4 linked regions of the Callithrix jacchus genome follow. The protein of the gene in region 2 binds, or shares a complex with, the protein of the main gene of each other region. Links are inferred from orthologs where the notes say so. Each region holds a gene or a part of one and is shown on either strand. Other genes may lie near its edges. The genes, in order: STX5, STX18, VAMP7 and BET1L.

The links.
Region 1: STX18 (region 2) and STX5 share a complex: the UniProt entries of both Homo sapiens proteins name them as parts of the SNARE complex. The link is inferred for Callithrix jacchus from reciprocal best matches to the Homo sapiens genes STX18 and STX5.
Region 3: STX18 (region 2) and VAMP7 share a complex: the UniProt entries of both Homo sapiens proteins name them as parts of the SNARE complex. The link is inferred for Callithrix jacchus from reciprocal best matches to the Homo sapiens genes STX18 and VAMP7.
Region 4: STX18 (region 2) and BET1L share a complex: the UniProt entries of both Homo sapiens proteins name them as parts of the SNARE complex. The link is inferred for Callithrix jacchus from reciprocal best matches to the Homo sapiens genes STX18 and BET1L.

What each region holds. Positions count from the first base shown.
Region 1 is NC_133511.1:120,109,757-120,117,486, forward strand, and holds the start of STX5 (syntaxin-5), read right to left. Parts: upstream 5,114-7,730; 5' UTR 5,016-5,113; intron 4,335-5,015; 5' UTR 4,316-4,334; coding exon 4,091-4,315; intron 2,574-4,090; coding exon 2,503-2,573; intron 2,340-2,502; coding exon 2,284-2,339; intron 2,164-2,283; coding exon 2,093-2,163; intron 1-2,092. Other genes in the region: TEX54 (testis-expressed protein 54), read right to left, coding at 5,437-5,805; WDR74 (WD repeat-containing protein 74), read right to left, coding at 6,008-6,187, 6,583-6,639, 6,756-6,901, 7,552-7,607, 7,703-7,730. UniProt on the Homo sapiens protein: Mediates endoplasmic reticulum to Golgi transport.
Region 2 is NC_133504.1:184,726,065-184,733,885, forward strand, and holds the start of STX18 (syntaxin-18), read right to left. Parts: upstream 4,057-7,821; 5' UTR 3,973-4,056; coding exon 3,805-3,972; intron 1-3,804. UniProt on the Homo sapiens protein: Syntaxin that may be involved in targeting and fusion of Golgi-derived retrograde transport vesicles with the ER.
Region 3 is NC_133524.1:151,449,526-151,457,392, forward strand, and holds the start of VAMP7 (vesicle-associated membrane protein 7), read left to right. Parts: upstream 1-2,976; 5' UTR 2,977-3,099; intron 3,100-7,867. UniProt on the Homo sapiens protein: Involved in the targeting and/or fusion of transport vesicles to their target membrane during transport of proteins from the early endosome to the lysosome. Required for heterotypic fusion of late endosomes with lysosomes and homotypic lysosomal fusion.
Region 4 is NC_133511.1:131,724,502-131,732,406, reverse strand, and holds BET1L (BET1-like protein), read right to left. Parts: upstream 5,089-7,905; 5' UTR 5,022-5,088; coding exon 5,003-5,021; intron 3,831-5,002; coding exon 3,739-3,830; intron 3,469-3,738; coding exon 3,412-3,468; intron 3,295-3,411; coding exon 3,127-3,294; 3' UTR 1,247-3,126; coding exon of another isoform or gene 1,088-1,246; 3' UTR 870-1,087; downstream 1-869. Other genes in the region: RIC8A (chaperone Ric-8A), read left to right, coding at 6,079-6,162, 7,021-7,068, 7,157-7,747. UniProt on the Homo sapiens protein: Vesicle SNARE required for targeting and fusion of retrograde transport vesicles with the Golgi complex. Required for the integrity of the Golgi complex.

The sequences.
Region 1 (7,730 bases), on a different chromosome or scaffold from region 2:
ATGAGCCACAATGCCCGGCCTGGGAGTGCTTTTTTATATAATCCCAGTGGGACCTGAGTAACTTTAGTATTTTTTTGGAGACTGAGTCTTGCTCTGATGCCCAGGCTGGAGTGCAGTGCCCCATCTTGGCTCACTGCAACCTCTGCCTCCCAGGTTCATGTGAGTCTCCCTTCCTCAGTCTCAGGAGTAGCTGGGACTACAGGTGTGCATCACCATGCCTATCTAATTTTTTTGTGTATTTCTAGCAGAGATGGGGTTTCCCCATGTTGGCCAGGATGGCCTCAACCTCCTGATCTCGTGATCTGCCCATCTCGGCCTCTCAGTGTGCTGGGATTACAAGTATGAGCCACTGCACTGGCCTATTTTTTATTTCTGTAGAGACAAGGTCTTCTTTTATTGTCCAGTCCAGAGTGATCCTCCCATCTTGGCCTCTCAGAGTGCTGGGATTACAGGCATGATCCATGGCATTTGGCTCTGAACCCTCTGTTTTCAAGGCCAGGTCTGGGCACACATCGTTTCCTCTGCTTGGAATGTCCTTCCATTGCCTCTACACAAGGCTTGAATCTACACAAGTTCAGATTTCACCCCCATTATCATGTCTTTCCTTGTACCCAGACTGTCTCATTCATCTTTTTGTAAAATCTTGCTGTACCATTTGCCTTCTATATTCATTTTTTTTTTTCAGAGTCTCGCTCTGTCACCAGGCTGGAGTGCAGTGGCGTAATCTCGGCTCACTGCAACCTCCACCTCCTGGGTTCAAGCAATTCTCCTGTCTCAGCCTCCCGAGTAGCTGGAACTACAGGCGTGAGCCACCATGCCCAGGCAATTTTTGTATTTTTTAGTAGAGACGGGGTTTCACTGTGTTGGCCAGGATGGTCTTGATCTCTTGACCTCGCGATCCACCCGCCTCGGCCTCCCAAAGTCCTGGGATTACAGGCGTGAGCCACTGCGCCTGGCCTTCTAAACTCATTTTAAGGATGGGTCTATGAAACTGGATACCTATTCTAGATAATAAGCCGTTAAAGGCACGAATCTTTTTTCTTCTCCACTCTTGTCGCCCAGGCTGGAGTGCAGTGGTGCAATCTTGGCTCACCGCAACCTCCGCCTCCCGGGTTCAAGTGATTCTCCTTCCTCAGCATTCCGAGTAGCTGGGATTACAGTGAGTGCCAGCTAATTTTTGTATTTTTTTTAGTAGAGACAGGGTTTCACCATGTTGGCCAGGCTGGTCTCCAACTCCTGACCTCAGGTGATCCACCTGCCTTGGCCTCCCAAAGTGCTGGGATTACAGGCGTGAGCCACAGTGCCCACCCAGAGGCAAGAATCTTGCCCCAGTTAATGTTAACGCTGCCCACCTTGATGCTTTGCCTATGGTGGATGATCAGCAAGTATCTACTGACTCAATGCAGGATGTTTGCACTTGCTCTAAAAACTTGCTCTGGGGCCAGGACTGTAACACCAGAACTTTGAGAGGCTGAGGCTGGAGGATTGCTTGAGGCCAGGAGTTCAGGACCAGGCTGGGCAATACAGCAAGATCCCATCTCTACAAAAATAAAAATAAATTATGGCCAGGCGTGGTGGCTCACACCTGTAATCCCAATACTTTGGGAGGCTGAGGCGGACATATCACTTGAGGTTAGGAGTTTTAGACCAGCCTGACCAACATGGTGAAACCCCGTCTCTACTAAAAATACTAAAGAAGTTAGCCGGGTGTGGTGGCAGGAGCCTGTAATCCCAGTTACTTGGGAGGCTGAGGTTGCAGTGAGCCAAGATTGCACCACTACACTCCGGCCTGGGTGACAGAGCAAGACTCGGTCTCAAAAAGAAAAAAAATTATGCAGGCATGAGGACATGTGCCTGTAGTCTCAACCACTCAGCAGGCTGAGGCTAGAGGAAAGCTTGAGCCTAGAGCCCAAGAGTTAAGAGCTGCAGTGAGCTAGGATCGCACCACTACACTCCAGCCTGGTCAACACAGTGAGACCCTTCTCTCTGAAAAAAAGAAACTTGCCCTGGGTCCCCATGGCAATGGAGAATGACAGAACCATAGAAGTGATCTGATTAGATTGCTGGGCTCTTCTGATGGCTAGTAGCTCACCTGTTTGATGATATATGTAAGCTCTTCAATTTCCACCGCTTTATCATCAAAGAGGGACTTGCGCTTTGCCACTACAGAGACAAACAAGAAGCCGCAATGGGCAAGGTGAAAGACAAAGCTCAGGGAATGTAGTCCTCAGCCCTCTGTGATGTACTACTGCCCCACTTCTGAAAGACCCCAAGAACACTCACAGATTGTCAGCTTCTCCAGCTTGGCAAATGTGTTGCTAAGGTCTTTCCCAATGCGCCTGCAAACGACCACTAGTGAGACTGGGAAAGGGCAGGAGAAGGCCTTTTCCCATATAAGCTCCAGCACAACCAATCCCAGACTTCACAGCCAAGGCCACTGAAGGCAAGCCTACTTTTCTTCAGACATTGTATCACCCCACCAGAAAGCTTCTCTCAACTCACTTGGCCATGAGGGTGAATTCACTGCGCTGTCGGACAGCACGCAAAGCTGGCTTATTTGTCTGGATTCCATTCTGAAAAGCAATGGCAGGAGGTGACAACTTTAGATCCCCCTTCCCCAGTTCCAGTTTTCACTCTTCCTCAGGTGTCCACTAAACTATCTCTAGTACTGGTGGCATCCATCCAATGATCTAGATTTATCAGTGGTAGTGGTTTAGACTCCAGATTTGAAGACAAGTAAACCGGAGTTCAAATCTTGACTCGCTACTTACTAGCTAGGGGTTTTGGGAACGAGTTACTTAAAACATTCTGAATCTCTTATTTCCCCTTCTGTAAAATGAAGACAATCCACACCTCTCCGCTTCTTGTTGCTAAGATTAAATAACAAAAAAGCTGAAAAGTACTTTCATCAACTACCTGGTACATTGTAAGCACTAAATAAATGGTAGCTTGTATTGCCATTCTATTCCTCAAATCGGGAAGTCAGTGAGGATGACTGCAAAGCCCTTGGAGATCACATAGAAGAGCAGCTTTACCAACAGATGAATAGTTAAAAAAAAACTTTTTTTTAACTGTTCTGTTTTTGAGACAGGGTCTCACTCTGTCTCCCAGGCTGGAATATATGATCATAGCTCACTGTGGCCGTGACATCCTTGCCTCAAGCGATCCTCCCGCTCAGCCTCCCAAGTAGCTGGGACTACAGGATACACCACCACACCTAGCTAATTTTTAACTTTTTGTAGAGACAGGGTCTTGCTATATTGCCCAGGCTGGTCTCTAACTCCTAGCCTCAAGCAATCCTCTGGCCTAGCCTAGGCCTCCCAAAGTGCTGGAATTACAGGTATGAGCCACCGTAACCAACCCATTGATTTTGATACAAATTACTGATCTAGGCCAGGTGTGGTGCCCAGACCAACCTGGGCAACATCGTGAGACACTGGCTATATCAAAAAAATAAAAAAATTAGCTGTGTGGTACATCCATGTAGCCCCAGCTGCTCAGGAGGCCGAGAGGTAAGAGGATCCTTTGAGTACAGGAGTTCAAATCTGCAGTGAGCTATGATCACACCACTACACTCCAGCCTGTTGATAGAGCTGAAATTAGATCTCAAAACAAAACAGAAACAAAACAACAAATTACTGATATAGAAAAATGTCCTTCGTCTTACAGAGATTAAAAACTAAGAAAGACATAACTAGATTAACTAATTTTCTCATGGTCACAGAGCAAACTTATGGCAGAAGTATACTGGAAAATTCAAGGTGGATGTCTCTCAGCTAAAGGCTCTTCCTACAACTTGTTCCTTATTCACACCAATTATATTGCAGCCAAGTCTGGCCCTGAAGTACTCTCTCCAGAATAGCAATCCTGCACTCCAGGGGATTCCTCATTAAAAAATGTCTAAGTCCTTGCCTCTAATTAGCCAGCCGACCTCTTCTCTGTTACTTATAGCAGACCTTACTAGCCCCATCCAAGCCTATCAGTTCCATCAGGTTTCCCCAAGAATTACTTCAGTTAACAGTGCTGGAGCACAGTCCTTCCTAGATTTGAGTAAGAGTCACTCCTCACCTTTTCCACTGCAGGTCCTTACCTGACGGCTCTGCAGCGACTTGCAGGCAGACAGAAACTCCTGGGTCCGATCCCGGCAGGACATGGTGTCGGGAGGGGGAGGGACGAGGGCCACTGGGGGGGGCAGAGGGGCGATGTCGTTGCTGCTACTGCCAGCAGTTGCAGGGGACAGGACCTGTGTCTTTGAGAGACCCAGGTAGACACCCTGATCCGTGTTCTTAGACCCGTAGCGTTTCCGCGGGATCATTGAGACGCATAACCTCGGACTGTTGTGGAGGGGAGAGTGTCATTTCCCCAGGCAGCTTCTTTACCCAAACTCCCCAGCCCCGTCCCAATCAACAAATCCTCGAGCCCCTTCTGCACTTTTTAAAGACTTTCGCGCCCAAGGCGCTCGCAGATCCTGGAGCAGGCCCGCAGCGGAAAGGGCCCCGATTTTCCCCTGGCCCAAGTCGAACCCTCTTCAGACTCTTCTTTCAACTTGGCTCTGACGGCCAAAACGCGGGCCGAGGACCCTGAAGCAGGGAGAGGGCCCGAGCCAAGTCCTGTGGTCCTGAGACTCTGGCCTGGCCTGTGTAACTGCCCCTACCCAGCCCTTTTGTATCTGCGGTTTCCTTCGGCCAGGGAGAGCGGGTGACGGACCTCCAGAGAGGGACACACTTCGGTGGGCGGAGGGGCAAACCTCTGGGTGTTTATTTGAAACAGGAAGTCCCACCCCCCGCCCAAGGTCCGCCTTCTGGAAGACTTCAATCACTCATTAGCTAAGGCCGACGTCTCTCTCAACAGAGGCTTTCCTAATTGGACGGCAAGGAATTCGCTCACCGGGAGCCGGGCCGGCAGGACTTGCCCGCTCGCCCCTGGTTCCCTTCCCCCCGCCAGTCGTCGCCCCCGTAAAACCACTACCCCGGAGCTGACACGGTGTCCAGACACCCTCTGAAAGCGAATCTTACCTCCCCTCTGCCGCCTGCCGCCGCCACCACTGCCAATCTCCCCGGCCGTCACCGCCTCCTCCCTGGGAACCGAAGCCGCCGAAACCCGACCAAAGACTGGAAGCGGCCACGTCACCCACACGTAGCCCCACCCCCGGTGACGACGGGGCGGTCCCACACGTTTTCGAGCCCGGCTATCCGAGAGACACGCCCCTCACCAAACGCAAGAGCAACCCCACCATCCCATTGGCTAAGATACCACCATGACCCCGCCCCTGAAGACAACAGCCGGAGCCCAGGGGGCTGGGCCCGCCTCCGGGGAGGAGCCTTAAAGAGCCAGCCGCCCGGAGGTGTCCGCGCCCCGTCCCCAGAACGGTCTTGCAGGTTCACGTCAGAAATTTTATTCTCTGGAGGTACGGGTGGACTAAGAGCGGGTCTGGAGTCATCCCTTCTCCGGCTCCTCCTGGTTGCCTTCTCGGATCGGAGTCTCCTTCTTCCGAACCACGTCTGATTGCCTCTTGCTTGCCCGCGAGGAGCCCCGACGACTGAACAAGGATAGCCGCCGCCACAGCACAGTGATCAGAAGGCTTTCGTTCGACTTGTGATTCCGGTGGTCTGGGGCGTTCACGTGGATATTTTCGGCGCCTGAGGGGACGATGAGGCCTCTGAGCTCAGCCCTACCCTCAGGAAGCCCCCTCTCCCGCTCCCTGGGCCCTCTTCTTTTATCTGTGGCCTCACCTTCCCCGAGGTCCTCGGACTCTTCTTCCTGCTCATCAGACATCTGAAAGTCCTTGTCTTGGCAGCAGCCCATGGCCCCGCGCGGCCCCAGACTCCGTGCCACCCACACCAGCCTGCCTGGCTCCAGGCCCGGCTTTGTGACATTAGGTATCCCGTCACCCCAGCTCAGGGAGCCCCCACCTCAAGCTACCCCTCATTCCTTTCTCCCATCACAAAAGGCTCAGGGTCATGGAGGGTGTTTAGCTGTTTATTTACAAACTGGGCACAGAGGGGTGTCAGGGGCTGGTGGACCCAGGCCGCTTCTTCTTTCTCCGCCTGGTTTGGAGAGCTCCTTGGGTCTGCTCCAAATCTGAGAGCTTCCGCTTGGCAGCTGCCTCCAAGGATGCCCAAAGTTCATCTGTCTCTGTGTCTTCTAGGGGCACGTTGTTGGGTTCTTGAGGTTCTTGGGGCTCATCCTGGTGAGTGGGAAGAAGCTTCACAGTCAGGGGGGCCGGGCACAGTGGCTCCCGCCTGTAATCTCAGCACTTTCGGAGGCCAAAGCAGGATTGTTTGAGCCCAGGACTTAGCGACCAGACTGGGTAACATAAGGAGACCCCGCCTCCACAAAAAGAAGTAAAAAACTTCTGGGTACCACCACCTTTATTCCCCACTCCCAGAAAGCAGCCCCATCCATATTCTTGGCAATAACCCTCTCAGGATTTTAACTGTTAATGCCTCTCAGAGAAATTAAGTGACCAGAGAGGTAAAGAGAGGGTCCCAGGTCTGCATTCCAGCTGCCTCCTTTTCCTCTCCATAGGGAGGTCCTCACATCTATGCCCTTGGCTCCCACATTCCTGACCCAACTGCTCACCTCCCAGTTGTCCCTGTCTGACAGGAGGAGGCAGTTCAATTGAGACTTGAGATAAACCTGCAGAAGATGAGAGGCCTTAAGGAGCCAGGCATGCTGAGACAAACATGAATGGGGGGCACAAGGAGGCTGGGCTTCCACAAGACCATGAGTTGGGGGTAGGAGGGATCACTTACCTTATGCTCCAGACCCCGTGGATTCTGGATCCTGTGTATCCTCAAGACTCTGTCCAAGCCACAGGAGGCCAGTAGAGGCTTGGAAGGGTGGCACTGCAACCCACGGACACTGCCTGCCAGCCCCTTCAGACAGCCCAGTAGACGCCCTGAAGAAGGGGCGGAAGCATCAGTGATAACTGGCTGGCCAATAACCAACCATTCATTATTTTCTGTTTCAATCACTTTCCATTTCAACACTTAATCTTCAACAAAACTCTGAGACTGGAGCGTCTACTAATAGTTCCATTTCGAAGGTGAGGAAACCAAGGTACAGGGAGTTGAAATAATTAGTTTAAGGTTGGGCCAGGTGCGGTGGCTCACACCTGTAATCCCAGCACTTTGGGAGGCAGAGGAAGGTGGATCACAAGGTCAGGAGTTCAAGACCAGACTGGCCAATGTGGTAAAACCCTGTCTCTACTAAAAAAATACAAAAAAACCTAGCTGGGCATGGTGGCTCATGCCTGTAATCCCAGCTACTTGGGAGGCTGAGGTAGGAGAATTGCTTGAACTGGGATCAGGGAGGTGGAGGTTGCAGTGAACTGCGATTGCACCACTGCACTCCAGCCTGGGCTACAAAGCAAGACGCCATCTCAAAAAAAAAGTTTTAGGTGGTACAGCTTTTGGGGAAATCAGGATTTGAACCCAGGCAATTTGGCACGGGCATGAGGCCTCACTGGCCCCACTGCACCACCTTAGAGGGAATCCTAACCCTTATCCCCGCTCCTTCCTTTCCCCAAACATACCCTAGTCCACTCACCTTGCCGAAGGTCAATTTCTGCCAGCTGCCCATGAGTGTTTCCCACAATCACTGAGCTGAGAATGAGATCAGAGGCAGGCGGGGTCAGCAGTAACCTCCTGGAGCCCTTCCCAAGCCCCACCCTCCCATGCCTTCCCCTCTAAACACTCACTTGCCTCCAGGAGTGAGGGTCATGGCTG
Region 2 (7,821 bases):
ACCACGCCAAAGGACCTGGCTTCTACTCTGGCTCTGTCCTATGACCTCAACTGCCATGACTTTGGGCAAGTCCTTTTATTTATTCGGGTGTTAGTTTTCTTACCTATTAACCAAATGAACTCAAGGTCCTTTCGAGTGCCTAAAATAAATGGGTCTGCTCTAAGCATACAGATTCTACTTTTACTATATGCCAAGCGGATTTCAACTTGAATTGGTAATGGCTCCTGGGGTACCATGTTGTAAAGGACTCTGAGCTATAGGGATCCACTAAGAAATTAGCATTGGCTTCCACTATCACAGGGAAGAAGAGAAAGTAACAGCTGCACACCTGCCGCACATCTGCCATCACTGAAAGAGTTTCACATTGACAAAGAAATGCCACTGTCTTTTACAAATGCGGACAGTACTTCTGCACCACCACTGATTCGTCAGCACCTGCACAGGACTTTCACGCGTTCCTCGTGCACTTAACTTGGCTCCCTTAATGAAGTGCAAGAAAGCTAAGTGGTTTGGAAAGCATAGCTTGGTGCCACTAAAGAAAACACGTCTAAATGGCCTCCATGAGGAGAGGCGAGGTAGTTTAGGGGAACAATAATAATCAGTCTGGTTCCTTAAAACATATACATAAAGACTATGCGAGCAGGGTGACTCACAACTACCCAACTCAGCTGGTGAGTTAAGTAGGGTATTATCATGTCCATTTTATAGAAATGGAAAATGAGAGTCAGACTTGCCCAAGTTCACCCATTTCTAAGTACAAGAAGCCAGATTTGAACCCAAGGCCCAGATCCCTTTCCAATCCCACAGTCCTCATTAGTCCCACACTTCAAATGAGTTAACTCATCAAATTCCCATTGTAGAGTGACATATTCATTATTATTTGGAGTTGTTCAAATAATATAAGTTCCTCTCCCAAATAATCTGAAAAGTTGTTACTCTCCATTTGTAATTTAATGGGTAGACATGCATTTGAGTATATATAAATTTAGCAAAACTGAGCATAAAAGTTAAATGTTTAAAAGAACGATGCAGAAGAAAGCCTGTTGGTGGGAGGTGGGGAGGAAGATTTAGTTTCAATGCAATTTTATTAAACTTAATATAGCCTTTATAACAATTCAGTGAGATGGAAATCCGGCACCAGGCATATATTTGAGGAATGGAATGTAAGAACAGAAACTGAGCCAGACAAAATGCATCCTAGAAGTGACAGCAAATGCTTCAAGGAAGGCACTTACTAACAGGCATACTATAACTTACTACATTTCCTTAGGTCTGACAATCAGGGCTAAATCTGAATCAGGATATGTGCACCAGACTTTTCTGTATAAGGAATCCAGGCCAAACAAAATAACACCAAACTTTTGACACATCTAACTGTAGTGAAAGCACAGGACATCCATCACTAGTTCTTCTAGTTAAACTTTCCACAAGAAAAGATGCGGAGTGGGAAACAGTTGCAAGTATAGAAGATAACACACAAAGCAATGACAACAGAAAATCAAAACTGCTTAAAAGAATATATGTTTCCTCTAGGTCAGGGGGACTGTGTCCCTGAACAACACAGCCCATATACTCACTTGAGGTGATGTGACACGTACCCACATCAATACATAGCAGAATTGGAAGTTTCACTGCCATGTGGTCCAACCCTGTGACACATGGACAAAGTTCTTCTCAAACATCTCTAAAAAGCAGTCATCACTCTGTTTAATGACTTCCAAAGACAGGGAACTCAGCACCTTAAGGGACTGTTGCTGTTACTATCTCTGAGGCCCATAAACTCAAATGCCTAAAACACATTTTCACCACTCAGGGAGAGGTGGAAGTGGTTACAGGACTCTCCAAAGGGCTTGCCAACCCAACTGTTGCCTCTTGCCTCTCCAATTCCCAAATCCCCCCTTTCCTTGAGCAGGACTCAAAATTAGCACAGTGCTAATAAATCAGTGGTTTCAGAGTTAGAAGGGGCCCTTCAAAAGACAATATTATACCACAGTTCTACAAAAGGAACCCCAGGAAGTGCTTGGGACAAACTGGGAGTATAGGGAGGGAGAATGTCCTGTTTCTCTTCCTCTCATTTCAACCTAGGTAGCTCTCACTTTGATGTGTTATATAGAGAGGATCAAGGTAGTTTTTTAAAAGGAGGAGGAGGAAAAAAAAGGATCATTCACAGGTAAATAAAATAAGGTCTTAAAACTTGCTTAATGAAATCATGTAGCTAATAGTTGCACCGTCAGACAACAACCTGGTCTCTTGGCTCGCTCCATCTTTGGTGCTTTCTCTATCATATAACATCTGCCCACCTACAAGGCCAAATTCAAACTCTGCAGTGATATACAAAGCCCTTCAAGATCTCCCCCTGCTGCCACTCTATTCCAATTTTTATGAGAAGTCCCACATTCCAGTCCCACTCAAATGTTTATGAACCAACTTATGTCAGACAATTACCTACCTCCAGACCTTAGCGCACACTATGCTCTTAGCCTGAGATGCCCTTCCCCACCTTGTCTGTACTGAAACCAACTAATCCTCTTTCAAGACTTGTTTGAAGCATCATCACCTCTATAAAGCCTTTTCTGATCCTCAGGTAGAACTGACCACATTCTTCTTTGTGCCCTACACAACACTTACAGGGCTTTACAGTACTTGTTTTATTTCTATGTCCGTATCCTCAACCACTCCTTTTACATCATGTTACTCTAACATGAGGCTGGTCAAAAGGTAAGTGCTTCATAGATGTTCATCAATGGGGTAAGTGTATTCATCTGGTCCAATCCCCTTTCTGAGGTTTAAGTATCTTCAGCTAACTGTCATTAATGCACGCATGCATACATTCATTCAAAAATATCTGAATGTCTATACAGTGCCAAGTGCATGCCAAGCAGAGGTAGATTTAGCGTGAAATTAATGAAGCTTAAGCTTCAGGGTCCCTCACTTCAAACTTCCAAAGCTCTCAACCTTTCTTGGCGGTTTTCTTCTTAAAAAGAGGAGACAGAATTATATAAGCTTTAGGCCCCACAAAAACTAGATCCCCACTTGGTGTCACATATACAATAGGGAACAAGACAAACATCTCTCCCGTTGTGCAGTTTTCTGCCTCGTGGTAAAGACAGCCATTTATTCATTCATTCATTCAACAGACATTTACTAAGCAATGCTGTATAAGTCATGCATTCTGAGATGAAAACAACACTGTCCCTTCCCTTAACGAAAAGGTTCCTAGTCCCAGGGAGATGAAGGAACACCTGCTCTGTCCAGGAAACAGAAAGTAGTTGAGATGACTTAACACTGTGAAAGATTATCCTAAACCTGTCTCAAGCGGAACTGAGTCCTACTTATTGCGAAGACAAAGTAAAGAAAGAGTTCGGTTTAATACGGTTTTAATCTCAACTGGGGGTGGGAGGCAGGCAAGCAAACAGAACAGGCAAATACAGTGTGGTCAGTGCTTCGACAGGAAGCGAAGGACTGTGAGGAAACTTCCCGAGTGCAAGTCTGTAATGACAGCGATCTCATGACCTCACAAAGCCGCCCATGCACTTTCCAGATAGAGATTTCTGAGCGTCTTCTTCTTCGCCCCCTAAACCCCGCCGCCGAAGGAGAAATCCGTTCCCCAATAATGCGTCCCCCTTCCTCAAAATAAGGCTGCTCCTTCCCCCAGAAGCTGTCGGCTGAGGCCAACTGTACTGTCCTCCTTGGGGCCACACTCTTTACACAATGCTTAAGGGACGAGGTCTGGTTTGGGGCCTGGGGTCCCTGTCGCAGGTCTGTCCCCTCCTCAAGCCGCCGTTTCCATAGCAACCAGCTTACCACTTCGCGGGCCCGGCTGGAGAAGTCGCCCTTGGGCCTGGGGCTCCGGCGGAACAGCTCATCCCGGCTGCCATCGACCCCGCCGCCCACCGCCACTCCCAGCGCCTTGTTCCGCGTCTTCACGGTCTTGACGCTGGCCCGGAATAGCAGCGTGATATCCACCGCCATAGCGACCCGCACCCGCAGCCCCAAACGGGACCCGCCCACGTCAGCAGCCAGCGACCGCGGCGCTAATCCGCCAGCTAGAGGACTGGTCCTACCCCGCACGCCTCCCCCCGGCAACGGTGGCGCGAGAAGAAAGGTTCCGGCCTGCGCCCGGCTACCGCGGCGGGAGGAAAAAGGTTCCGGCCTAAGCTGGCGCGCCTAGAGGAGGAGGGACCCGGCAACGTGCTCACGGGTAGTCCCTTCTCCAGGCAAAGCTTGGAGGGTTTAGCAGCACGGAGAGCTCTCCTATGTCTGTCTGGGGCTTGTGGGCTCCGGGAGCATAAAGACCGGAAAGCTGGGAAGTTCCTTCCCTTCTGGTGGCTCCCTCACTGAGCCCGGACGATTTGGTTGCGGGGGACGCGAAGGCGAGACCCCCTTGACCTTTGACTGCAAGGACTCACCCTGAGCATGTCAGAGGCACGTGGACGGTGACCCTCGGGGTGCAATAAGTGCTGGGACAGAGCAGGTGTGCAGGGCACAGAGCCAGAGGCCTTTGTTCTCCAGCCTTCCGCCACCTCTTCTGTAAAGGGAAGCCAGCATCCTCCTCGGAGTTTACTGTGAAAATTAAATGACCCGACGCGTGCTGTTTTGGTGTTTCTTGGCTCCCAGTAAGTGGCCAATAAATGGTAGTTATCGTTAATATGTTGTTATTATAATAATAAAAACATATTAATAAATGTTATTAATAAATATTATAATTAATAAATATTATTATAATCTTATTTGTGGTGAGAAAGAGGCTCTAGAGAGAAGGCGTCACCTGTGCAGAGATTTGAAGGATGAATAGGAACTTTAGATGGAGACAGAGGTGAAAGGGTGACCCTAATGCCGCTGGATTCTGTTCATCCTTCATGCATAGTTTTCAAATCTTGAGTCATAAACAATGACAAGTCAGTCAATGAGTTTCTTCTGCATTTTTTGGTTCATGGTTCTGGGGTGTGTGTGTGTGTGTTTAAGATGGGGGTCTCACTATGTTGCCCAGTGAGATTACAGTGGCTGTTCAAAGACGCCATCCTAGCTCACTACTCACTGGAACCCCAGGGCTCAAATGATCCTCCCCCGCTCCGCCTCCTGAGTGACGGGGACTTTGGGCATGTGCCACCTTGCCTGGCCTATGGTTCAGTGTTAAAACAAAATCTCAAGATTTTTTTTCATAAAGAGAATGCACAAGTAGAATATGTGTTAATGCAGTGGTTTAAATGGTCACCAATATAAAACTCTTTTCATAATACTAAGACGTTACTTGCCTTTTCACTCTCACTTCCTCATGAGTTGTATACACTTGAGTTTGTTAGAGACTGTGTGTGATATTGCAACGGAATGAATGCAGAACAGCTGTTTTCTATTAAGCCAGACTTTAAAAAAGGTTTTCAAAGACATAAAAAGTTTTGGTTTTAGTTTCTCATATAGTAAATGTTGATAATGTCAATATAAACAAAAATTGTTTACAGCCCTTAGCAATTTTTAAGTGTGCAAAAGAGTTGAGACCAAAAGTTTGAGAACCACTATGTTAAAGAAATAAAGTTGATCAGAAATAGATGTCAAGAAAGTATATATTTACCAGAAAGGAGGAAGAAAAAGATTATTTAAGCCCAAACTGTAGCCATTCCTTGCAGTTTAAGGAAAATACATTTCCATACAGCTTTCTTCCACCTACTGAGGAAAAGTGAAAGAAATCACAAAATCTCTGCCAATGATTCTATCTTGCACAAATGGCCCTTTGTTTAATCCAGACATTAATGAGTTTTTGGCTATGCAAAGTTAAGCCTGGGGCACAGTAGAAGGAAAGAGAGATTGCTCTGCATAATTAAGTGAGGGGGATTGAATTAGGGGGGAAAAAAGAGAAGCCAGAACCAAGGGAGGGGCCAGGAAAGTACAAAGTAGGTAACTGGAAAGGATTTTTGAGTGAGAGGGAGGCTGAACTATATCAAGACTTCAGTGAGTGGTGCCTTGTGTGAACAGTGTGTTTGATGCAGTTGGATATTTTGGGTAGAAGGGTAGGGACAAAGATCTAAGTTTTCTGTGTGGATTTGCAAGAGCAGAGAAGATTGTAGTGGATATGAGTCCCAAGTGAGCTCAAAACATCAGGCTGTAAATCCACAAGTGACCACAGTACATAAAATTCCTAGAAAAGTCACAAAGATCTTGAGGAGGCTGCTGAACTTTCCACAGACCGTGGGATATGGGTTGTGCTTTTTAAATGTTGTGTTTACTCTTTAATTTCAAAGAGCAAAGTGACTTCGTTGACCATGGACTGTATTAAACTCCATGAAGCTGAAAGGGGCTGTGGATTAAAAGGGTGAGCAGAAATGTTGTGAGAGTTACTACTGCAGCTCCAGGGCTCAAATGATCCTCTCGGTTCAGCCTCCTGAGTAGCTAGGACTATAGGCGTGTGCCACCGTGCCCAGCCTGTTGGATGTAGTGCACAGATCATGTTTTCTTTATGCGTTCAGCAGACATTGATTGGGCCAGACACTGTTCTGAAAAATACGCAGTCGACTCTTGAACAACACAGGCTTGAACTGCACGCTTCCACTAATACTCAGACTTCCTTCTGCCTTTGCCACCCCTAAGAAAGCAAGACCAACCCCTCCTGTTCCTCAGCCTACTTGGTGTGATGATGGTGAGGATGAAGACCTTTATGAGGAAAGACCTTCAAAAACATATACCTTCACATTAGGAAGTAAACTTAATTAAATTCATTGAAAACCTTTTTTTCCCCCCCTCAGGGACTCTAGAAAGGTCCCTGACTCTAGGGCTGAGAAGCTCGAAGAAGAAATGTTTATTCCCGAGAGGGAACCTAGATAAAGAATTCAGGATTTCTTCCTTTCTTTCTTTCCCTTTCTTTCTTTCCCTTTCTTTCTTTCTTTCTTTCTTTCTTTCTTTCTTTCTTTCTTTCTTTCTTTCTTCTTTCTTTCTTTTCTTTCTTTCTTTCCTTCTTTAGATGGAGTTTGCTCTTGCTGCCTAGGCTGGAGTGCAATGGCACGATCTTGGCTCACTGCAACCTCTGCCTCCTGGGTTCAAGCAATTCTCCCACCTCAGCCTCCTGAGTAGCTGGGATTACAGGCATCCACCCCCCTGCCCAGATAATTTTTTTTATTTTTGTATTTTTAGTAGAGACAGGGTTTCACCGTGTTAGCCAGGCTGGGGTCTTGAACTCCTGATCTCAGGTGATCCACCCGCCTTGGCCTCCCAAAGTGCTGGGATTACAGGCATAAGCCACTGGACCTAGCCCAGGGTGGCTTTCTTCCAGCAGCTCCAGGAGTGTAGCTCTGAAACAGATGTGCAAAAAAAAAAAAAAAAAAGGGAAAAGCAGGAAGCAAATAGGAAGTTGTCATGGTCCAGCCCTTTGAGGTATGGCTTTTGTCCCCCACCACCCATCAAAGTGATATGGTTTGGCTTTGAGCTCACCCAAATCTCATCTCAAATTGTGATCAGAATTGTATCCCCATGTGTCAGGAGAGGGACCTGGTCAGAGGTGATTGGATCACAGGGGCAGTTTCCCCCATGCTGTTCTCATGATAGTGAGAGAGTTCTAATGAAATCTGATGGTTTATAAGGGGCTCTCCCCGCTTCACTCTCTCTCTCCTGCTGCGGTGTGAAGAAGGTGCCTGAGTCCCCTTTGCCTTCCTTCATAATTATAAGTTTCCGGAGGCCTCCCCAGGCATGCAGAACTGTGAGTCAATTAAACCTCTTTCCTTTATAAATTACCCAGTCTCAGGTAGTATTTTTATAGCAGTGCAAAAATGGACTAATACACAGAGTACCTAAAGGAGGGGTTGCCAATGCCTTATTCCTACCTGATTCTTGTTA
Region 3 (7,867 bases), on a different chromosome or scaffold from region 2:
ATGATTCAATCCTGTTAAACAGAATATAAAACCAGAGTCTCAGATATGACTAGAGCTTTGTATATGATAAGTTTATTTCATATTAGCCCAACAGACTTTCTTGTACTTTCATGTACTAGGTGCTCTGGAGCACCTAGTACATGAGAGCCAGTTTATAATCCAGCTTCTTAGCTTTGTAATCTTTGCCAAGACCAGCAAATTTCTTGTATGTACAACTGGATCAGGTTCTCTCTAAACTTTTCATTCTATAATTCCAGGCTGGGTAGCTGAAAATGGCAAGCAAAACCTTTATTCCATAAACTCAAACTATCTAAAATCATCAATTACTAAAGGTGATTCCATTCTTTGGCAACATGATGAAATGGTGTATTAGCCCATTCTTGCATTGCTATAAGGAACTATGTGAGAGACTGGGCATCGTGGCTTGTGCCTGTAATCCCAGCAGTTTGGGAGACCAAGGCAGATGGATCACAAGGTCAGGAGTTCGAGAACACCCTGACCAACAAAGTGAAACCCCATCGCTACTACAAATACATAAATTAGCTGGGGATTGTGGCCTGCACCTGTAATCCCAGCTAGTCAGGAGGCTAAGGCAGGAAAATCACTTAAACCTGGGAGACGGAGGTTGCAGTTAGCCAAGATCATGCCACTGCACTCCAGCCTGGGTGACAGAGCGAGATTCCATCTCAAAGAAAAAAAAAAAGAACTACCTGAGACTGGGTAATTTATAAAGAAAAGAGGTTTAATTGACTCACAGTTCTACAGGCTCTACAAGAACATGGCCGGGATGTTACAAGAAAGAGGGTCCAGATCCAGACCCCAAGAGAGGGTTCTTGGATGTCCCACGAGAAAGAATTCAGGGCGAGTCCATCGAGTAAAGTGAAAGCAAGTTTATTTACAAAAGTAAAAGAACAAAAGACTGGCTACTCCATAGTCAGAGCATCCGGGAGGGCTGCTGGTTGCCTGTTTTTATGGTTATTTCTTGATGACATGTTAAACAAGGGGTGGATTATTTATGCCTCCCCTTTTTAGACCATAGAAGGTAAGATCCTGATGTTGCCATGGCATTTGTAAACTGTCATGCCACTGGTGAGAGTGTAGCAGTGAGGACGACCAGAGGTCACTCTTGTCGCCATCTTGGTTTTGTCAGATTTTAGCTGGCTTCTTTACTGCAACCTGTTTTATCAGCAAGGTCTTTATGATCCGTAACTTGCGCTGACCTCCTATCTCATCCTGCAATTTAGAATTCCTTAACCATCTGGGAATGCAGCCCAGTAGGTCTCAGCCTCATTTTACCCAGCTGCTATTCACGATAAAGTTGTTTTGATTCACATACCTCTGACAGGGAGATCTCAGGGAACTTACAATCATGGTGGAAGGCAAAGGGGAATCAGGCACGTCTTACATGGACAGCTAATTATATTATAAAGTTTAGGGTACAGATGAGATTACTTTAGGAGAGAATAAGGAGTAAGGGGATTTGCTAGAGTCCTGAAAGGTCTAAAGAGAGCCAACACTTAGAGTTCACACAGCTTAGTAACTCAGATCTGTCTGACTCTAAAACTTATTCTTTTTCTAATATAATATGCTGCCTCTTAAAGAATAGATACTGAATGCAATATAATTTTAATAATGTGAAATGTGAATCTTTGCAGAGGGAAGATAAAGCAAGGGGAATGATTAAGATCACCAGGAAGAGTGTGAAGAATAAGAAGAGAAGATGGCGTAGGATAGAACCCTATGGAATGTGAACATTTCAAAAGAAAATGAAGAGCTGCCACAGAGGTAAGAGGAGAAGCGGGAGTGTATAGCATCTTGCATAGAGCTAAGAGAATAAAGGAGTTCAAAAAGGAGGAAATAAGGGCCAGGCGCAGTGGTTCATGCGTGTTATCCCAGCACTTTGGGAGGCTGAGGTGGACTGATCATGAGGTCAGAAGTTGGAGACCAGGAGACCAGGAGACCAGCCTGGCCAATATGGTGAAACCCCGTCTGTACTAAAAATATAAAGAATTAGCTGGGCGTGGTGACAGGCGCCTGTATTCCCAGCTACTCGGGAGGCTGACGCAGGAGAATTGCCTGAACCCAGAAGGGTTGCGGTGAGCCGAGATCGCGCCATTGCACTCCAGCCTGGGTAACAAGAGCGAAACTCCGTCTCAAAAATAAAAGAAGAGCTTGACTCTGATTCGGCAACAGGGAATAGGGATGGAAGAGGGATGGGTTTAGATCAAAGGAGAGTAGTAGTTATCATTATTATTGCTAAAGAATGGGAGAAAGGATTGGTGAGGGGTACAAGAAAATAAGAACATTTCATGGCAAAAATAGAGGCACTTCCTGTCAGCTGAATTCTATTTTGTCGGTGAAGAAACAGGCAATGTTGCCTACTGAAACTAAGCAGGAGAGACGGGGCAAGCGTGGCTCTTCATTTATGCCGCCTACTCACTGCTGGTAGAATCTTTTCTTTCTTTCTTTCTTTCTTTTTTAAGACGGAGTTTCTCTCTTGTTACCCAGGCTAGAGTGCAATGGCGCGATCTCGGATCACCGCAACCACCGCCTCTTGGGTTCAGGCAATTCTCCTGCCTCAGCCTTCTGAGTAGCTGGGATTACCGGCACGAGCCACCGTGCCCAGCTAATTTTTTGTATTTTTAGTACAGACGGGGTTTCACCATGTTGACCAGGATGGTCTCGATCTCTTGACCTCGTGATCCACCCGCCTCGGCCTCCCAAAGTGCTGGGATTACAGGTAGAATCTTTAGCCTGCATTCTCTCATTTGCGTGGATCCCTATACGGCGTTTGACGTTGTTTACGGCCAGAGCTGTCCCCGGAACGTGGCCAGTCGGAACTACTACTCCCGGAATGCACTACGGCTCCTGGGAAGTGCGGGGGGGGCGGGGCTGGGAACTTAGCAGGCCTAGCCCTGTTGCCTGCTGCCATTGGAGGAGCGCTCCCATTCCCAAGAGGCCACGCGTAGGCGGGGCGCTTCACGCGGAAGTTAGCGGCGTCGGGTCCCAGCCTCCTCTGGGAGCGGGCAGTTGGCGACCCTGCGCTGACCCGCGCCCCTAGGTCCCGAGCCCGCGCGCCCTCAGAAGGTGCCCGGACAGGTAAATGGAGTGGGGCGCGCTCTGTGGGAGGCGGAAACACAACTGCGGAGGGAGAGGGAAGGTGTCGACGGAAAGGTGCTGGGGTGGAGCGGGTAGGCAGTGTAAGGGTGACTTGGGCTTCTCTGGTGTACACAGTACCGGTTGTCGGGCAGGTCCGGTTTCGGCGAGGTGCGTCTTTTGCCGCTGGAAAGGCCTCGAGTTAAAAAGAGTGTCAGAATGCGTCACTTAAGCTGTCATTACAGGAGGGAAAAAATGTTAATTTTCTCTCAGTTTGCATTCTACAAGACTTTTCTGTACCATTTAAATCGCTTGAGATCGACCGAGTCTTCTAAAAACTCTCTGCGTCCTTATTCGATGACGTCACTTTCCGCTTCACCTACTTCTGGCTGTTTATGCTCCTTCGTGGGTTCCTGGCCCCTTATTCACCCTTCCTCCACTGCTCATTATTGACAGTCCACTTCTTCCTCTGTTTGGCTAGGAACTGTATCTCCGCCTAGACCTGTTTCCTCATCTTCAGACCTGTTTGGTGTTTTTATTAACCGCCAATGTTTATCAAATTCTGACCACGTGCTAGCGTCTTTGGTAAACGCTTTACATCTCCCACTCCCATAACTCTCACAATCAGCTGTCTTCATTCGGCCTCATTTATTGCTTTCAACTACCTGTATCTCCATTCTCCCTCCCTTGATCCCAGAGATACAGCCATGTTAGGGATATTAATTACCTTTGAATACTTGTGGCTGAGAGCAGATCCATTCGTATGTTTAACAAATATTTATTGAGTGGCTGATCTGTGCTTGACACTCTTTTTTTTTTTTTTTTGAGACGGAGTTTCGCTCTTGTTACCCAGGCTGGAGTGCAATGGCGTGATCTCGGCTCACCGCAACCTCCACCTCCTGGGTTCAGGAAATTCTCCTGCCTCAGCCTCCTGAGTAGCTGGGATTACAGGCACACGCCACCATGCCCAGCTAATTTTTTGTATTTTTAGTAGAGACGGGGTTTCACCATGTTGACCAGGATGGTCTCGATCTCTTGACCTCGTGATCCACCCGCCTCGGCCTCCCAAAGTGCTGGGATTTTACAGGCATGAGCCACCACGCCTGGCCGACTCTCTTTTTAAGTGCAGGGGATACAGCTGTAAACAAGACTTAGGTTGCTACACTCAGGAACTTACATGTTTGTGTCTAGAGGGGAAAACAGAAATAGGATTATGTTATATATTGCCTAATGTGAAATAAAACAGGTGGTTGACTTGAAAGGGTGGGATCCTATCCTAAGAAAGTCAGAGAGATTGGATTGGGTCTCAGAGCATCATCCAGAAAGAATAGTTGTAATACTAACAGGAATAATCTTGATCTATAACCTGACTTCATAAACACCTCTCCTTTTCCCCTTTCTAAGCAGTGTTTATTCTTCATTTTTTCTATCTCCTCCAAGCTTATTGCATCCGAATTCTTGGTTTATCTGTAGTTACTTTATTCTTTCTAACTCCCAGATGGAAGAGTTGGGGATTGGATTACTGTTAGCTCAACTGCTTTATCTTACTTCAAAAGGTGATTTGGTTGTGAAAATATTATTCTTACTAGGTCTTTCTGAATATAAAGTTATCTATCATTTATAGTGTATTTAAAACCAAAGTATGCTCAATGTTCACTTACTTATTCAACAAATACTTGAGGGCATGCGCGGTGGCTCAACCCTGTAATCCCAGCACTTTGGGAGGCCGAGGCGGGTGGATCACAAGGTCAAGAGATCGAGACCATCCTGGTCAACATGGTGAAACCCCGTCTCTACTAAAAATACAAAAAATTAGCTGGGTGTAATCCCAGCTACTCGGGAGGCTGAGGCAGGAGAATTGCCTGAACCCAGGAAGCGGAGGTTGCGGTGAGCCGAGATCGCACCATTGCACTCCAGCCTGGATAAGAGCAAAACTCCGTCTCAGAAAAGAAAAAAAATACTTGAGGGAAGGTTAACTGCTAGGCACCGTGCTGAGCACTGGGAAAGTAGGGTAAAATAGACACTTTGGCCTCTCTTCCACGGAGAAATAATCCTAACAGTATAGTGAGGAAATTCCTAAGGCATAAGCTGATACCTACATTCCTGTTATTCACCCAAGGTGAGATCATCACAAAGCATTAAGAAATTTCCTGAGTGGTTGTGGACAGTCTTAGATTATTCACTTATTACACTTTATCACATTTATTTATATCTGTCTTCCTCATTGTACCATGGCTCCCTCAAGTATAGGAGTCCCTTCTTCATCAACTTTATACCTCCAGTGTCTACTTTGACTAGCATATAGCAAGCCCTCAGTACATATGTGTTGAACTGAAATAGAAAAACTCCATATCTGATCAAATTTAAATGACATGATTTATACAAGACCTTCTCTATGTAAGGCCATCAGCTGTATTCCTCAATCTTGTCATTCACCAAAGGTGGACCATTCCATCTCATCAGGCTAGTTTATGTACCTTCTTTACCTTGTTCTCACCTCTATGCCTTCTCTTGTTTCATCCGTTCCTCCTAAAATGATCTCCCATCTCTTCCCGAGCACCTTGTCTACCGCCTTACTTTAGTGGGCCAGTTAATTTAATGGTCTGCTCATGATACAAGAATGGAGGCCGGGCACGGTGGCTCACGCCTGTAATCCCAGCACTTTGGGAGGCCGAGGTGGGTGGATCACGAGGTCAAGAGATCGAGACCATCCTGGTCAACATGGTGAAACCCCGTCTCTACTAAAAAAAAACAAAAAATTAGCTGGGCATGGTGGCGCGTGCCTGTAATCCCAGCTACTCAGAAGGCTGAGGCAGGAGAATTGCCTGAACCCAGGAGGCGGAGGTTGCGGTGAGCCGAGATCGCGCCATTGCACTCCAGCCTGGTTAACAAGAGCGAGACTCCGTCTCAAAAAAAAAAAAAAAAATGTAATTGAAAATGCGGTCACAGTGGAGTAGAGTGGACCCTTGATCCAGTATGACTGGGGTCCATATAAAGGAAGGGAAGAGACACAGAGAGAATGCTATATAAAGACACAGAACACCGTGTAACTACAGAGGTAAAGATGGAAGTGCTGCACCTCCAAGCCAAGAAATGCCAAGGATTGCCAGCAAACTATCAGAAGCTAGAAAGAGATAACGGAAGATCCTCCCCTACAGGTTGCAGAGGGAACATGGCCCTGCCAGCACCTCGATTTTGGACTTTTAGCCCTCAGAACTGGGAGGCGATACATTTTGTTGTTTTAAGCCACCAAGTTTTTGGTACTTTATTACAGCAGTTACAAGAAACGAATACAGGATTCTTAGCGGTAATGAAGTAAAACTGGGATGATGGCTGTGGGACCAAGTGAGGAATGAATAGGAGAACAAAAAGGAACAGTGTTGATTCAGGGCTTTCCTTTATATTGCATTCTCTTTTTCTTCCTTTCTCTGGTTTAGCTTTCCATTCTTTTTCTTCTTGAGTCTTATCTTTATATAGCACTTAACGGTTTATGAGACATTTGCATACTGCTAATAATTAGCAGAGCCAGGTTTTCCAACTTCAAGTGCAGTGTTCACTGTGCTGCAGTTGTTTTGTTATCCCAGTACTCATCAAGATGTTATGGATTCTATTACAAGACACAATGGGGGCAGGTAAGACTTCATAGGTAGCATCTTTTTTTTTATTATTGCATTTTAGGTTTTGGGGTACATGTGCAGAACATGCGAGATAGTTGCATAGGTACACACGTGGCACTGTGTTTTGCTGCCTTCCTCCCCTTCACCCACATTTGGCATTTCTCCCCAGGCTATCCCTCCCCAGCTCCCCACCCCGCTTTCCCTCCCCTATTCCCCCCGGTAGACCCAAGTGTGTATTGCATTTTAGGTTTTGGGTACATGTGCAGAACATGCAAGATAGTTGCATAGGTACACACATGGCCGTGTGTTTTGCTGCCTTCCTCCCCTTGACCCACATTTGGCATTTCTCCCCAGGCTATCCCTCCCCAGCTCCCCCGCCCCGCTGTCCCTCCCCTATTCCCCCCAACAGACCCCAGTGTATAGTACTCCCTTCCCTGTGTCCATGTGTTCTCATTTTTCATCACCCGCCTATGAGTGAGAATATGCGGTATTTCATTTTCTGTTCTTGTGTCAGTTTGCTGAGAATGATGTTCTCCAGATTCATCCATGTCCCTACAAAGGACACGAACTCATCCTTGTTGATTGCTGCATAATATTCCATGGTGTATATGTGCCACATTTTCCCCGTCCAGTCTACCATCGATGGGCATTTGGGTTGGTTCCAGGTCTTTGCTATTGTAAACAGTGCTGCAATGAACATTCGTGTGCATGTGTCCTTATAGTAGAACGATTTATAGTCCTTTGAATATATACCCAGTAATGGGATTGCTGGGTCAAACGGAATTTCTATTTCTAAGTCCTTGAGGAATCGCCACACTGTCTTCCACAATGGTTGTACTAATTTACACTTCCACCAGCAGTGTAGAAGTGTTCCTATTTCTCCACATCCTCTCCAGCATCTGTTGTCTCCAGATTTTTTAATGATCGCCATTCTAACTGGCGTGAGATGGTATCTCAATGTGGTTTTGATTTGCATCTCTATGATGACCAGTGATGATGAGCATTTTTTCATATGATTGTTGGCCTCATATATGTCTTCTTTTCTAAAGTGTCTTTTTATATCCTTTGCCCATTTTTGAATGGGCTTGTTTATTTTTTTCCTGTAAATCTGTTTGAGTCATAGGTAGGATTTTTAGCAGTATAGGAGAGAGGAA
Region 4 (7,905 bases), on a different chromosome or scaffold from region 2:
TGGAGTCTGGGTCTCAACTCGGCCTTTCGGGGAGGTCAGTTTAGGATGCACAGCCTTGACAGATACAGCTGTGGCACCATCACCAGCACCCGCGTACAGCACAACACAGCTGCTGACTCCCACTTAGCTGTGATCGCACCAGCCTGCATATTCAAAGCACTTCGTATTTACTCACATTTTTTGGGGTTGTTTTATTCTTTTTTTTTTTTGAGAAGGAGTCTCTCTGTCACCCAGGCTGGAGTGCAGTGGCACCATCACGTTAAGCAATTCTCCTGCCTAATCCTCCTGAGTAGCTGGAATTACAGCCAAGCACCACCACACCAGCTACTTTCTCTATTTTTAGTACAGACCGGGTTTCACCATTTCAGTCAGGCTGGTCTCGAACTCCTGACCTTGTGATCCACCCACCTCAGCCTCCCAAAGTGTTGGGATTACAGGCGTTAACCACCGCGCCCGGCCTACTCACTTACTCCCTATGTGATGATGCCCTCAGGATCCCCCTCTGCATTTCAGGAACTTGGGCAGGGAAGGGGAACACAGCAGGAAGTGGGTTCCGGCCCACTTCATATGAAGCAAAACTAACCTCATTATAACATCTAAGCTATTTGAGACGAGGCTAAAGCATCTCTATGGTCAGCATTTCTGGAAAAACAAAGGCCACTGTAATTCTTCAAACCTCTGATGACTTCCAACCCATCAACCAAGAAATGGCCGTCACTACAGAGCCTGTGGCTGCCCCGCCCAAAGTCAACCCTGATGGGAAGGGAGAGGGTTTATGGCACCAGTGCCCATGGCCAGCCTGGGGACCAGTGAGCGCCACACAAATTTCCTCAAATCCCAAGGAAATGAGGACAACAGAGACCATATGATTAGTTCTTCATAAAATCATATTTACGACAAATTTTTATTGTTTACGTGTTTTGTCTTGAAATTATGGGATAGAACCTAGCACTCTGTCCTCACTTGGCAGAGTGGGTAGCCCTGGCTCTCACGATGGGCCCCAAGATCCCTTTTGGTTTCACTGGTATCAGGGATCACAGTCAGCAAAGCCCGCTCTTTTACAGGGTCAGGTGCACGGGGCTGAGGGTTAGGGTCGGCCCCTCAGAAAACTCTGGTCTGGCACAGCAGCAGCAGGGTTGCCACTCTCCCTTTGCAGGATCTTAACACAGCAAGAGTAAGACGCAGATAAGCAAACCAGAAAGAAGTCCAGCCCAGACCCCAAAGTACCTGGGAGGGCTGCAAACAGCTGTGGAGATGGAGAGACAGGGAGGGAATACAGAGACTGCGTCTCAGAGACGACAAAGGTCACCCCGAGTTGCAGCCTAACTTCCTAGTTTGCATCAGCAAGATGAGCGGGTGCCACTAAGGAAACAGCACGGGGGTCTGGTTCGGTTCCCACAGCTCAGTCACATTCCCCAGAAATGGAGGTCAGCCTTGAATGGCCCAGGAAAACATGCGGGATGGAGTTGGGAGACAATGCAGGCAGCCGCTACCCTACCAGGTAACCAAGGGACAAGCCCCTGATGAGCAGAGGACTAAGGCAAGCCATGGCAGGCAAGGACACTGGTGCCGGAAAAATGACAGGGGTCTGCAAAGGGACATCTGAAGAGGGGGCAGCAAGCTGGGAGCAACACCAGCCCAGCTAGGTTACAGGGCAACAGCAAAGCCCCAGAGAATGGAGGCAGTCGAGTAGACCTTGCTGGGTGAGAAGAAGCAGGCCTGCACTGCATGAGCGAGTAAGAAGATGGACTCCACTCCTCTGGGAGGCTGACAGTCTCAGCCAGGTACAAGGAAGGGGGCTGTGGTGAGCGTGCATGGAGAAAGGGGGCTTGCTGTGTGTAAGGGAGAAGGAAGGGAGGGGAAGGGTGAGCAAAGTGGGGCTGCAGGCTCCAGGCTGTGCCTTGTCTCTGGTCAGCCTGGAGCTCTGAGGCAGTTTGGGATGGACGGGACACATGGTGTGGCCACAGGTGGGGGGACAGTGAGCCCATAGTCTCCAGGGAGTGACTGGAAGGAACAAGATTGGAACAGGACAAAGAAGGGCACAGAAGCACACGACTCATACTTCAAAGGTGTTTTTATGCCAAGACAAGGGGGCTGGGACCTCATCTTGAGGTGGGAAGAAGTCATTTCCCTGCCAGTCCAGTGGTTTGAACATCAGCCCAGCCCAGGGAGAGGTGGGTAGGGTGGGCATCCTGCAGAGGCTAGAGACAAGAGGACAGCACGGAGCACCATCACAGTCAAGGGAGCCTGGCAGGGCTTGGCAGAGGGGCAAAAGTTACCAGCAAGCTAGGCGGCAACTGGAGTCCTCACAGGAACCTTCCTGTGTAGATCCACAGGTTTGCCTGACTCTGAAATGCCAAACAGGCCCACTTCTAGGTCTGCTCTCCCGAAAACACGTCTTTGGTGCTGGGCTGATCCTGACTCCTGAGAACGCAAGTTTCTGCTCCTGGATACAGTCACATGACCCAGAAGGATCCAGGCGCAGCCACTAGGCCAAGGCTGCAGTTCACTCCATCCACACCCCAGTTCTCCCCAAGGGTCTCACTTCATCCGCAGGACTGGAGAGCAGGCAGAGAAAACTCACAGCAGAGTAGCCCACGCTGGTCTGCCCATGCCTAGCAACCGTGGCCAGAAGGAACCGTCATCTCCAGGCTGAGAGGCCTCAGTCGGAGGAGATGGCACTCACTCAGGGTTCACAGTCCCTTCCTGTGTCAGCTCCAGGCACCTTGGATCACAGACATGGCCTCACCCAGACAAGGACACAGCCATAGGGCCTTAAGATGTCAGCGTCCCAAGAGCTGGGAGAAAGGCTGCAGGCCTCAAGTGGCTACGTCTGGGATTCAACAGCTGCTGCGCTTGGACCTGGCTCCTCCAGACATGCTGTGGCCCCAACTCTGCTGGTGTCTCTAGCACCTGGGGGAGGAGGGAGGGGCTGGCCCTTGGTTTCCCCAAAAGAGAGTCCCTTCCACAGCCAACATGAGCTCATCAGGTCACAGGCTGCCACAGCCTCCTGCCCCACAGGAAGAAGATTCCAAACCCACAATTGTAATTTCAAAGGAGTATTTTGTAGGTAAGTTCTCTGGAGCCCAAGACGCCAGGCACCCAGAGACACCAGCTCCCACTGGTTCACGTCCTTGCCCTCGACAAGAAGTAGGAGAGGATGAAGAAGACCACAATCAGACCCATGGCCATGCCACACAGAAGCTTCCGGTTGTCCCGTCCAGACCTTGCCATTGCGGAAAAGCGCTTCACACTCCCTGTAAGCAGGCCGGTCATGCTTGTGAAATCCGAGTCCTAAAGGGGGAATCCCAGCAAGATCACACAGAAGTGGTGATTTCACCACCCACCCGCACCAGTGCTGAAGGAGACACTGCAGGCTCTACAGCAGGTAGTGTTGGGGCAGGCCCTTACCATGCCATCCAGGTACCGGTTCTGATCCTCTGCGTCCCTGTCGATGTCCAGGGCAAGCTGTTCAGCACAGAGAGGGCAGGGTTGGGCCAGAGCAGACACATAATGCAGCACTCACCCTCCCCAGACCAGACAAGCCCTGCCAACAACTCTGCCAGAGTGCTGCAGCAGCAGAGAGGTCCAGGTGGGGCCTCATGCAGGTGAGCACAGCCACAAAGCACATGAGGATAGAAAACTGCCTGAAACTCCTCTGGGCCGTCTGCCTTTCCTCTGACCCCCACCCCCCAAGGGCACATGGTAGAGGTAAGAGGACAGGAGACCACCACTGACCGATTTGAGCCTGGTGACTTTGGAGGCCAGGCTGTCGGTCATTCGCTTGTTCTCCCGGTCTAGTATCTCTTCCACAGCACCAGGACTCTGACCTGAGAAGAGAGAGAGGCTGAGGGGTTGCATCCACCGGTGAGCACGGCCCCTGACCCGTCGCTCCAACCACATCTGGGTGAGTTGGAAATCCAGGGGGACTGGGCCCTGTGTCTGCTGGGCAGGTGGCAGACACAAGGCCCTAACCAGGTTCCAGCAGGTGGATCTTGCACATGTGAGGCAGGCTGCATAAAGAACGATGTGTGTAAGTAAGCGCATGTCATGTGAACACACGCCCTGTGTACACATCCAGGTGGGGATGGGCAAGCACCCACAACAGGCTCGGTGCAACCAGCAGTTTCCCACACTGTGTAGCAGAAACTGCACCCAGCCCTGGGATGCTGGTAAGATGTGACACTTGCATCCATGGAGGTCCCATCTGTGTAAAAGTGTAGGAAAGGCTTGGGGAAAGTACCCAGCAGAGCAGTAGGAAGGCTCCTACAGGGGCGACTTCAGAGCTGGCTCCTGAAGAGGTGGCAAGGAACCAGGACAGAATGTTGAGAAGGCGCTTTACCGCACAAAAAAAGGTCTGAGCCAAGCTCCCAATTCCCCACCATGGGAGCTGAGGTCGACCAAGAGAGGGATCCTTGGTCTGCATCCCACAGAGGGCTTCCCGCAACACCCAGAGCATAGTGCTTGCAGCGGCCTGGCCTGTGATGTGATAGGCTGGGCCAGGTGATAAGGAATTTCTGTCACATCAGGTAGGTGAGAACCACCTGCTGCCTAGCTTCAATGTAAGCAACGGGTGCAACACAGACAGGCAAACATCAATATCCCACTTTGCAGACAAGAACACGGGCTCCGGGAGGGGGACTGGGGCCATCGAGGCCCAAGTTAGCAGACGCCTGCTTGGACACCAACGGTGCACGCGTGGCCTGTACTCCTAGGGCCTGGCCCCGGGACCTGCCGAATGCGGAGGCTCCCGCACCCCGAACCCACGCAGAACGATCTCACAGGGAATGGCGGAGAGTTGGGGGACCCCGCAGCTGCGCGACCCCTCGCTGGAGCGGCTAGGCCGCCCCCTCGGACCCGGAAGGATCCGAATCTGCCCCCGTGACAGGGTCCTCTCCGCCGAGGACAGTTTAGAGGCAGGCGTACGCGGCTCTGCAGGTAACAGCGTCGGCTCCGGCCGGGCCCGGCCCCGCCCCCAACGACTCCGCTCTCTGGCGCTCACCCCTAGCCCAGTCCGCCATGGTGCCTTCCCCGGCTCTTCAACGCCGACACCGACGCGGCAACCGCCGCCTCGGACGTGGCGCAGTCAAGGGGCAGGACTTCCGGCCCCGCCTCCGCAGCGACCACGCCCCTATATGCCCCTGCCCCTTCCGCCTTGAACTCGCTGACTTCCGGCTGAGGGCTACGAGTTGGGAACCGCCGGTCGCAGGAGCGCGGCACGGATGTGCCTTTCATTTTCCGCACCGTCCCAGGCTGGCGTGCAGTGACGCGATCTCGGCTCACTGCACCCTCCGCCTGCCGGGCCAAGCAGCCCTCCCGCCTCGGCCTCCCAAGGTGCTGGGATTACTGGTGTGCGCCACCGCGGATGTGACGTTTGTTGTTCCTGTGAGCGTAGGGCGGGGCGGGGCTGTTGGCTCGGTGCCAGGACTACGGTGTGGGATAGACGCTTCCGTGGGTTAGGTCCTAACGGCGGGGAAGGATTCACAGGCGCGTCATGAGGAGGGAGCAGGCCCCCCCGAGCAGGAGCCCTGTTCCCGGCCACTTCCTGTCGTCCGGTGTCAGCAAAAGCAGCGTTTCCTCGCTGCCCGTTTTGAAGCACAGCCTCGTGTCCTTTGGTGTTTGCTTGTGTGCCTTCCCCTCGGGAACAAAAGCTCCGCGAAAGCATGGACCTAGGAGTCCCGTTCGCCTGCGTTCCCCAGCAAACGCCTAACGAACCCGATGGCCCAGGACTGAAAAGTCCCCCACTTCGGCTCCCCCTCCACACCCCATCCGTTCTGTGGAGATCCAGGGGCGGCGCTGTGTGTGTGGCAGGGCGAGGTGGGGGCTGAGATCCTTTCCCGTTGGAAATTCCTGCCCAAGAAGCGCGGGTCACAAGGAGAGGGGTCAGTTCGGTCGAGGGCGACTCGGGTCTGGAAACCTTCGAACCGCCGCTTCGGCTCCAGGCCGCGCCCCCTGAAGGCGCCGCCCGACGCCGCACCCCGTCCCGGCCTCCCATGCGCGCTGGCGCGGAGCTCTCTGGGCCAGGGCGGGGCCGGCGAATTGCGGCCCGGAACGGCTGGGGCGGGTCCCGGGGGCGCCATGGAGCCCCGGGCGGTTGCAGCAGCCGTGGAGACGGGGAAGGAGGATGTGATTATGGAAGCTCTGCGGTCGTACAACCAGGAGGTGAGCCGCCGCCGGAGGCCGGAGTCGGGCACGCGTGGCAGGGACGGGTAGGAGAGCGAGGCAGGGGCTGTATCCGGAGGCCGGGGTCGGGCACGCGTGGCAGGGACGGGTGGGAGAGCGAGGCAGGGGCTGTATCCGGAGGCCGGGGGGGGGGGCACGCGTGGCAGGGACGGGTAGGAGAGCGAGGCAGGGGCTGTATCCGGAGGCCGGGGGGGGGGGGCACGCGTGGCAGGGACGGGTAGGAGAGCGAGGCAGGGGCTGTATCCGGAGGCCGGGGTCGGGCACGCGTGGCAGGGACGGGTGGGAGAGCGAGGCAGGGGCTGTATCCGGAGGCCGGGGGGGGGGGCACGCGTGGCAGGGACGGGTAGGAGAGCGAGGCAGGGGCTGTATCCGGAGGCCGGGGGGGGGGGGCACGCGTGGCAGGGACGGGTAGGAGAGCGAGGCAGGGGCTGTATCCGGAGGCCGGGGGGGGGGGGCACGCGTGGCAGGGACGGGTAGGAGAGCGAGGCAGGGGCTGTATCCGGAGGCCGAGGGGCGGGCACGCGTGGCAGGGACGGGTGGGAGAGCGAGGCAGGGGCTGTATCCGGAGGCCGGGGGGGACGGGCACGCGTGGCAGGGACGGGTGGGAGAGCGAGGCAGGGGCTGTATCCGCGAGCACAGGGGACACGGCGGCGTCGGGGGGGCCAGGTCCGGGATGCGATGTTGAGGGGAGAGTGTGGGGTGCACCGCTGGGTGGCAGGTGCGTAGGGATGGGGGCGCGTGTAGACCCTGCCATCCGTTCTGAGCGGTGGCCGCCGCCCATCAGCGGACGCGGAGCCTGCCCCTCTCTGGACTTGAATTCACTGTTTCTCTCTGCAGCACTCCCAGAGCTTCACGTTTGATGACACCCAGCAGGCGGACCGGAAGGTGGGTGCTGGCCCGAGGGGTAAAGGGGCAGGGACGGGTGGCCCCAGGAAGAGGGACCTGGTGGAGCCGCTCTTCTCCTTGCCCACAGAGACTGGCGGAGCTGCTGGTCTCCGTCCTGGAACAGGGCTTGCCACCCTCCCACCGTGTCACCTGGCTGCAGAGTGTCCGAATCCTGTCCCGGGACCGCAACTGCTGGGACCCGTTCACCAGCCGCCAGAGCATGCAGGCACTGGCCACCCATGCTGGCATCTCTGTCTCCGAGGGCTCCGTCCCTGAGTCCGCAGACATGGATGTTGTTCTGGAGTCCCTCAAGTGCCTGTGCAACCTCGTGCTCAGCAGCCCTGTGGCACAGACGCTGGCAGCGGAGGCCCGCCTAGTGGTGAAGCTCACAGAGCGCGTGGGGCTGTACCGAGTGAGGACCTTCCCGCACGACGTCCAGTTCTTTGACTTGCGGCTCCTCTTCCTGCTGACTGCACTCCGCACCGATGTGCGCCAGCAGCTGTTTCAGGAACTGAAAGGAGTGAGTCTGCTGACGGACACGCTGGAACTGACGCTGGGGGTGACTCCCGAAGGGAACCCACCCAAGCTCCTTCCTTCCCAAGAGACTGAGCGGGCCATGGAGATCCTCAAAGTGCTCTTCAACATCACCCTCGACTCCATCAAGGGGGAGGTGGACGAGGTGAGCACTGATGGCAACCCGTGGCTGGGTCTCAGCTCAGCTCCAGCATTTTCTGGACCTGCTTGCTTCCCACTGGGTACCTTCGGGTTTCTGAGTGTCAGACATGGAGAGGATAGGATCTCTCAGCCTATTGGGACAAGGCCAAGGAGATGCCAGTT